2 linked regions of the Xenopus tropicalis genome follow. The protein of the gene in region 1 interacts with the protein of each later gene in a biochemical or structural test. Links are inferred from orthologs where the notes say so. Each region holds a gene or a part of one and is shown on either strand. Other genes may lie near its edges. The genes, in order: sorbs1 and flot1.

The links.
Region 2: the proteins of sorbs1 (region 1) and flot1 form a complex in vitro, tested with the Homo sapiens proteins (2 studies listed by BioGRID). The link is inferred for Xenopus tropicalis from reciprocal best matches to the Homo sapiens genes SORBS1 and FLOT1.

The regions. Positions count from the first base shown.
Region 1 is NC_030683.2:39,374,217-39,378,682, reverse strand, and holds the start of sorbs1 (sorbin and SH3 domain-containing protein 1), read left to right. Parts: upstream 1-1,440; 5' UTR 1,441-1,493; coding exon 1,494-1,540; intron 1,541-4,466. UniProt on the Homo sapiens protein: Plays a role in tyrosine phosphorylation of CBL by linking CBL to the insulin receptor. Required for insulin-stimulated glucose transport. Involved in formation of actin stress fibers and focal adhesions.
Region 2 is NC_030684.2:75,252,230-75,256,844, reverse strand, and holds the start of flot1 (flotillin-1), read left to right. Parts: upstream 1-1,605; 5' UTR 1,606-1,715; intron 1,716-4,289; coding exon 4,290-4,335; intron 4,336-4,615. UniProt on the Homo sapiens protein: May act as a scaffolding protein within caveolar membranes, functionally participating in formation of caveolae or caveolae-like vesicles.

The sequences.
Region 1 (4,466 bases):
GGTGGGATGGCATTTCAGGGAGATTAGACGCCCGCGACAAGGGAGATTTGTCGCGCAGTGACTCATCTCCCTGTGTGTCATAGCCCTAAATGTCGCCCAAACTGGCCTTCATGCCAATCACTTGGGCCCTGTCCTGTGGTTTCAGAACATCTGGCACCCCATGCCAATCACTTGGGCCCTGTCCTATGGTTTCAGAATATCTGGCACCCCATGCCAATCACTTGGGCCCTGTCCTATGGTTTCAGAACATCTGGCACCCCATGCCAATCACTTGGGCCCTGTCCTATGGTTTCAGAACATCTGGCACCCCATGCCCAGCACTTGGGACCCTGTCCTATGGTTTTTGAACATCTGGTCTAACCTGATATGTGAGTAAATAATCAAACTGGGAAGACTTTATATATTACAGGGCCACTATTACATTACTACATTGCGTAAGGGACCATGTTTTGAAGAAAAGCAATTATTAAGGAATTGTAAAGAATTGGCAGCTCCTTCTGATTCTTCAATGCACACAACAAGCTGTGGTCACATAAGTTATAGTTTGCTTCAAGGAAATGAATAAAAATATATAATAACCAGAATTATTTTTTAATTATAAAATACACTTAACTTACACTATACTGAAAAACTACTTTTTCTGGTACCTATAAGTTCTTGGTCTTTGCTTTTCTGGCCACCTGGGATTCATCCTTCATGCGATTTCATTGTTTTACCTACATGCTTACCAACTGAATTGCACAAGGAATTTCCTATGCGAATAGGCTATTGCCCTACCTTGATGGACATTATTGGTGAACTGGAATTTTCTTGGGCACATAGTAATGGGAAAATGTTATGGAAGAAAATATAAAAAAATGTTTAGACTAATACCAGACAGGACTAATTTCTGGCCTGTGGTTAAACGTGGTTAAACGTTTATCCGCAGCCCGGTTTGGCATTATCCTTAGGTTGTGTAGTTAAGGTGCCTGGCAATGCAGGAAGACTGGTAGCTTGTGTTGAGCAACAACTGGAGAGCTTTGTACTTTTTTGTGATCTAATCTTTTTTCATGAATAGTCCCTTATGATGCCGGTTCCTAGGACAACTGCCATTTCTGATCATCCCTAAAACTAGCCCTAACAAAGGTCACAGAGGAGGCTTACCTTTTTTGCTATCCCACAGAGCTTGTATTATTTATACAGATCTCTTTTCTCATGTATGTTGTGGTCGGCTACATTAGAGAGAGGTTATTATTGAAAGATATTTTACACCTTTTTTTCCCTTTCGTCTGTTTGATGTTAACGTCAAATGGAATGTTATGCTGCTGAAAGGGCTGGTGCATTGTAAAGCAGCCAGTGACATCACTAAGAAACAAAGCTAATTTAAGCTTCAAGGAGGGTGGGTACGGAGTAGATATTTAAATGTACAGAGGGAGGAGAAGCTTGTCAAAGACACTTTTCATTTTGTGAAGCTCAGACGTTTTCTTTAAACTCGCGGTTAAATAGTTTGAAACATGCGGCACAAGCAGATCACAACCTTTAAAGAGGAGTATATCGAAAGGTAAGGATCTGGAATGAAGGAAATTAAACTTTGCTTGTCAAATACAGAGCTTTTTGACTCAGGAATGTCTCCATACTGCAATTCTTCTTTAAGAAGATATGTTGCAGCTTATCATGGTGCAGTGTTTCCTAATGGTGACAGTCTATATTCACTTTCTATGTGGATGTTGTGGTTGCTGGGAGTTTTAATTGAAGATCCTTCCATATTGCAATGTCTAGATCTGTGATTAACACTAAGTTTGCTTAACGGAACAGTCAATAAACAAGACCAAGTGGGTTTTCTGATCAAAGAAAGTCATAGAATTACCTGAAACAAGTGCTAAAATTGCGTGATCCTCTTGACATCACACAGACTTCACATTAAAACAAACTCTTTAATCATGTTAATACCCCTGTGTTGTAGCCTTAAGAGAGACTCCTATGACAGCTGTGTAGCAGTTGCAGTTGTGGTGTGGTTCACAGATGTTTGTTAGATTAGCATGTGGTAAGTGCTAAACAGGCCACTGAAACATTTCCAGATTTGAAGAGTAATATGTGTTGCATTATTAGGAAAAAAAAAGGCAGTCAAAATCCATAATGTTTAACGATAAGCATGTTTTGTGTTTGGTTTTAGTAGGTGATGTTGTTAAAAAGACCTAAAAATATATAACGCTTTGAATTCTTAGAGATCTTCTTTCATAGTTCTTTGTTTTGACTTGGCTGCCTTAAAGAAAGCAAATCTCCCCTTTATTGAAGTAAGTTAGCAGTACTGAACGACTGCATGTACCACTGTGGGTATCAGTTGGTCATAACTTTTTGTAATTTTTGTTCAGGGTCATTGCCCCGCAACAACCAAAAATTGTTTCCCTACGAGGCTACATTGGTTATTGTTATTTTTCACTGCTTATCTTTTTATTTATGTTTTCAGCTATTCACTTTCCAGTCTGTCATTTGAACCTCTACCTGGTTGGACCCTAGCAACCAGGTAGCTGGCAAAAATCCAAACTGGAGACCTTCTGAGCAAAAAGCTAACTAATTCAAAATCTAAAAATGATAAAAAAAAATGAAAAACAATTGTATATTGTCTTAAAATGTCTGTCTACACCATGCTAAAAGTCACATTTTATTTTTGTTGAAACTGCATTTTTTCAATTGCAAATTTCAGTTATTCCTATGCCAGGTTAGGGCAGCTTTTAGACACGTTCATATGAATGTTCTTGTTTTGCTTGCTGGGAAACAAGTCATGTCCATCATGCTTCCTATCTCTGTGTCATATTTACTATGCTTCCTATACCAACCCCTGTAATATCAGCACATATTTTCAAGCTTTCACAGGTTGACTTAACTACGGATGATTGATTATTGTACATTTATTTATTTGAGCTTAGAGGACTTTGATCTTATGGCTGATGATTATTGCAAGTGCTGGTATGGAATTTACTATCAGAAAAACAGCATTGCTATTCTGTCTGCATAAGCATTTTTATATGATAAGACAGTATCTTGTATCTAATGTTACCTGAGCTATCATAAATCATAATTTTGATATTTTAAAGGCATGGTTCACCTTTAAATTAACTTTTAGTACATTCTGAGACAATTTGCAACTGGTTTGCTCATTTTGTCTCTACATAGAGAAGAATACCTAAACTGGTGATACTTCTTCAAATCGCTTATCGCTCCGAATCGCCATGAGATCCTTTTTCGAGCGATTTTACAAAGAAAGCATTGTCATTCAAAACTATTGGAATCGCTGAAAGTAAAACCAACTAGGTGTGAAGTTGCTGCGATTTCCCCATTGCACTGAATGTAATTTCTAATTGTGGGAGAGGAATATGACACCTTTGTGGGAAATAGAATCACTCCGTTGTGGAAATCTGTAGTAATTGCTTGTTAGGAAAATATGAGCGACTTTTAAAAATCGCAGCGACAAAATCTCCCCATGGGACATTAGCCTAAATGGTGACTTTCTATTGCATCTTACAGCAGCCCCACTGGCATTTGCCAGAACCAGATTGCCAGTCCAGGCCTGGTTGCAAGGTTCCAGTATACCCTAGCTACCAGACTGTGGTTTAAATGTGAGACTCGAATATGAATAGGGGAGAGGCTTGAATAGAAAGATAAGTAGCAAAAGCAGCAATAACAATAAAACTGTAGCCTTACATAGAAATAGATTTTTGGCTGCTGCGGTCAGTAACCCCAAAATGACAGCTAGAACGAAGTAGAGGACAATTTTAAAAGTATAAAAAAATTAGGGTAAATTGAAATCTTGTAATTAGGGTAAATTGAAATGTTGTTAAGTATATAACATATTATAATGGAAATTGGAACCATTGTGAGGAATGTTGATTTACAAGCTAGTGTATTGTGGGTTCAGAATATTTTTTTGCAGGGGGCCCACAGATTGTCTTATTCCCCTGCTAATAGCCTTAAGGCACTGTGCTCCTTGACGTCTTATCCAAAACCCCAGTTCCCAAGAACTCCAGATATATTTCATACCTGTGCCAGAATAATTTTATTGGAACAGGGATTCTTAACCTATTTGTCCCCAAAATGGGCTATGCACTATCTCCCTAATTACACTGACAGAGAACTTAACATATCTGTATGAAAATGTTCATGTAATTTTAAACAAATCAAGATATTCAATGATCATCAGCAACCTGGGAGAAGTGACTTTAGCTTTGCTAATCACGCTATCATAATTTGCTGACTTGGAAATGAGCAATGCAAAAGAAACTTTGTCTGCCCAGACTGCACATGAGCACAATTAGCAGCATATTACTTATCTACCTGTAAATATTACAATATATTTTTTGTGTAAAGGCACTTTATAATGTAGCATCTAGCTGATTGGCTTATTGGGTTGATAACTGTAATTGTTATTATAGTAATTACTTATCCAGCAACTGTTATTGAATCTTAAAAAACAAGATAATAGGTTTTTT
Region 2 (4,615 bases), on another chromosome or scaffold:
AGCCTATTTTAAAACCCAGCCCAGTCCTGCGTAGGTGGTTCTTTATGGGACAGTGAGATTGTAGAAAGCCCTGCTGGGTGATGTTGCGATGGCAGATTCAATATATGCTTTTAAGAGTAGCTTCTTAAACAAACTTCAAATGTGTTCCCACCAGCAAAAATGTAAAACGCTGGTAGGAAAACATTCAGGGCTCTTGCGAGGCAACTTCCAAAAAATGAAACGCTGCTTATGTTTTGCTACCAGCAATGGGGGGAAGCATTGACAGAGATTAGTTGCCTGTGGTAGTGAAGATTTATTGCAGATGACTACTATATCTCCTTGTGTGCCAGTACCTTTAGGCTAATGTCAGACAAGGCATCTGGCATATATTTTAGGCAAAATCGCTTGCCGAAAATATCGCCTTCCACCTCCTACCTGTGCCTGCACTCAAATGAATGAGATACGCTCAGGTGCAGGCACATGTAGCCAATATCTGCATAGAAACACAAGTCTTTGCATTCTCTCGCGTTTTTATGTGTATTCCGGCCTGCACCCAAGCGTATCTCATTAATTTGGGTGCAGGCACAGGTAGGAGGCGGATGGTGATATTTTCAGCTTTCCGAAAATACACGCCAGGCGCTTTGTCTGACATTAGCCTTAGACCTACAGTTAGATAGTGCTATATATAGTAATGTTGTTAGGTATTGATATACTGTATATAGTTATACATGTTAGTGCATAGATAGGTGTGTACTGTATATGCATGTGTATATATGTGCACTGGGGTTTATTTAGAGGTGTTGAACTTCATGGACTTTTTTCAACCCTGCTTACTGTGCACCCAGAATTCGCTGCAGGACTTTGGAAGATTTCAGGAGAATACTGCTGGGGGACGGGAGACCGGGGGAGAGCCATCAAAGTCTGGTAACCCCAGAACAAATAGAGGGGGTTGACAGCGCTGCTGCTTAGCTATGTAAAGGTGACCATACAGGGGCCCATGAAAGTTGTTGACAGTCAGCAGTTTATTGGCTGTGTATGGGCCCTCAGATGTGGTCCTTGTCCTGCCTGTGTACTGTCACTCTGATCCAGCTGTTTGGCCTTCGGGCCAAATGATCAAATCAAACTAATATTGCCCACCTTTACTATGTGAATAAAGCCCCAAATGCCCCATACAAGCTAATGCACCATGTGGCGTTATAGCATAAATTAAATCTAGAGCAAAATTGCCCTGGTACGACCCCTTGTGCTTACAAGTATTGTGAAAATTTCAGCAAATATTACATGCTTATTTAATTTACATGATTTGTGTGGTCACATGAAATATATTGCGCCATGCACAGTGGTAAGACTGTTACTACAGATTTGCTGCATTATGGAGTGATATATTAATAAATGCGTTTTGTATATTTCTGTGTATGCAGCGTTCCGTGTTGGCTGTGTTCTGTAAGAGTTACACGTTAGAACAATTCCGCATCTCTCGGCCTTGAGCCTGCCAATGCGACAGGTGGCGCTAACTTGCTGAGGTGAGTGGGGGGATTGGCTCTATAGTTAGTGAAGAGAAGGGGAGTGCTGGGGGGGGGGGGACGGTAGACGAGGAGGAATAGGGTGGAGTCGAGAGGCGAGAAAGGAAAACACAAGCAAAAGGGAGGGTGGAAAAATTAGGAAATAAAGCTCAAATTGCGACATACTAATAAGGTTACGGAAAAGCCGAGAGGAGCTTACATCTAAGAGTCAAGGTGCGGTTTACTGAGTTAATATTTTGTCTGTTTCGGGTACAATACTTCTAATCGCTAATACCTAAATGTCTGTGCAACATCCGTGCATCGTGTATGTATGTATCCAGTTAATTGTGCTTCCTGGCGAGTCACGCATACAGTGTAGCTTTTACTGCTGCCGCTATGGGTGTGTGTAAGCTAAATATACATTTAGTAGCTAATTATGTTTCTTTATTTAGAGAGCTAATATAAGTTGTAAACATATGCCCTTTGCTAGGAGGAGACCTGCCTGTAGCCTCTGTATCTCCTGTTTGTTTCCCGTAATATGTTAATAATATCCATGCATTAAATAATACGTGCTGGGGAGCGTTACAGGGCATGGCACATTCAATAATCCATCGCATTAGTGGCAAATTGTGATTTTAAACATACCTGTTTTCTTTAAAATATTCATTATGTTTTACATCCATGGGCTATATCCACTTACATTTTATATTGTAGATGAGGTCAAAAATAAAATGTTCCTTTTGCTGTCTATAAGGCTTATTGTGCATTAACCAATTTACTGCTGTTGGTGCAGAACCTCCCTGTTAGCGGATTGCAGGCAAGTGATAGATTGCACAACTGCACTGCATATACTAACCATCACACAGATTATTTTGTGAAAGGAAATTGTGATATTTGCTGTCGCTTCATATGTGAACTGTATTTTTGGCTGATATTAATGTTTAAGAAAAAAAATGTCCCTTTGGGAATAGAAAGTACGTTTCTAATGTGTAAAAACCGTAAAAGGGCTATGCAGTAGCATTTGGTGTAGGCGTTGGTTGTTCTGAGGGAGCCGGTATAAAGCTGAAAATTGATATACAGTAGTTGCTTGAATTTTCTTATTACAATTGTTTTTACACCTGTGGGTTTTCCTTGCCTTCACTTGTTGATGGGAGTAGTTTAGTTTCTTGTACTGTTATCTCTAGATATGCACTAATTGCCGGGTTCGGTTTGAAATTCTGCCAGATCCAAGACTTTTTCTTGCAGGATTTTGGTTCAGCTGAATCTAAATGCCCGACAAACCAAATCTTCGCTTTTAAGGTAGTCATATACAGGCAGATTTCAGTGTGTGGAATGAAAGATTTTAGGACAATCCCAAGTCAACTGGATGAATGTAATTGTGAGAATTAGATTTTGTCAGATGGTTTGAGTAAATAAGGGGCAGTTGCTTTTGTATGTGGGTGATATGGATAACTTTTTACCTATGTATTACATCTTTCCTTATATTACATTTTGTTTTAAGATCAGAAACCATGTATTATATAAACTGTGCTGTAAAAGGGGATATCGGGAATTTTTAAAGGAGACATATCCTATAAAAATTATGAATGTACCAGTGAATTATACTCCTAGATATAGTAGGATTGTGCTTAAAAAAAGTTGTGTTTCTGACTGATTTATTGAGAAATTCCACAAAAACCCCACTAACCCCGCCCATCTGTTCCACTTCCTGCTGGCTGAATTCTCTGGATGAGCTGGGGAGCCGGCGGCCCTCCGTACCCTGCACTGTGGGATAGGAACCAATCCGCAGCTAGGCTGACCTGATAGGGAACTAAAGCCTGTCTTTGCTTGTGTGAGTGCAGGGCTGTGATTGGCTCTCCCCCTCCTACTGTGCTTCTGGCAGGGACCGTTAGGACACTCCCACTCTTCATTTCAAACTCGGACAGAGAAGTGATAGGATCTATAGGGTGCTCCAATAAAGGGGCCATTGTTACAGATAGGGTTAATGTTTAGCCCAAAGGGAAACCAGCACCGGATATTATTCATAATTGCCTACAAAATTACCTTTTTTTCCCATTTATCCAATATGTCTCCTTTAAAATACTTTTCACATCATTATAAGCTCCCCACAGGAAAGGGTTGGAAAATGTTGCTACAGTCTTCCACTGAATATTCTTTATCGCGGATGTTTTCCCTTTTTTCCAAAATATGGTGTTTCTGCCTGCACCCGGACTGAAGCAGTACTTCTGGGTGCAGGCACAATTTAAAGTTTTTTTAAGCGTAGGGTCAGATCCTCCTTGCTGCTCTGTGTGGCACTAGCCTTAAGGTGCCCATACATCTTCAGATCCGCTCGCTTGGGCCCTGGGGCCAAACGATCGAATTGTAATGACGGGTATAGGCAAAGTCAGTCCGGGGATCACACCAACGAGCCGATGTGGTCCCTGATCCGACTAGATTATTTAACCTGCCCGATGGTAGTGCCCATACATGGGCTGATTAGCTGCAGAATCGGTCTAAGGGACCGATATCGGCAGCTAGAATTGGCCCGTGTATGGGGACCTTTATGCCCAGTGCTGCAGATTTGGTGGAGGTCAACATCTTGATAACACACACACATACATACTGTACATAATGTACATGTATAATCAACAAATCACTTACCAGAGTGAAGGATGCCTTTTAACATCAAATGGGCTTGGGATGTCACATCATGAATTTTTTTTTTTTTTACCTTGAATGTTTCTTGTTTTCTGTGCATTCAGATAGTTATGCTCATATCTATAATCTGTCATTTTGCTTTCCATTTATATTTTGTTACTCTTTTCACAGATGGTGTTTTATACATGCGGCCCTAATGAAGCTATGGTGGTATCAGGTACAGTTTTTTTTTACGTGAGCGTTTTGTAATATAGGCTGTGGATGCCTGTAGAATAGAGGAGCCAGCACAGCTTACACAATTTTAGTCTTTGTGTTTAACACACCACTAAGTTTTGAAACGAGAATGACTAGCCCCTTGAACTAGTGGTTTCAGGATACTACAGTAGAGGGCAACAGAAACAAACTTCAGTTGGTTTGTGCTGGGTGTTTGCAGTACTAAAAATTAAAAATGTTTGCCTCTTAAGCTGGCCATACACGTGGCGATCTAACGATGTTGT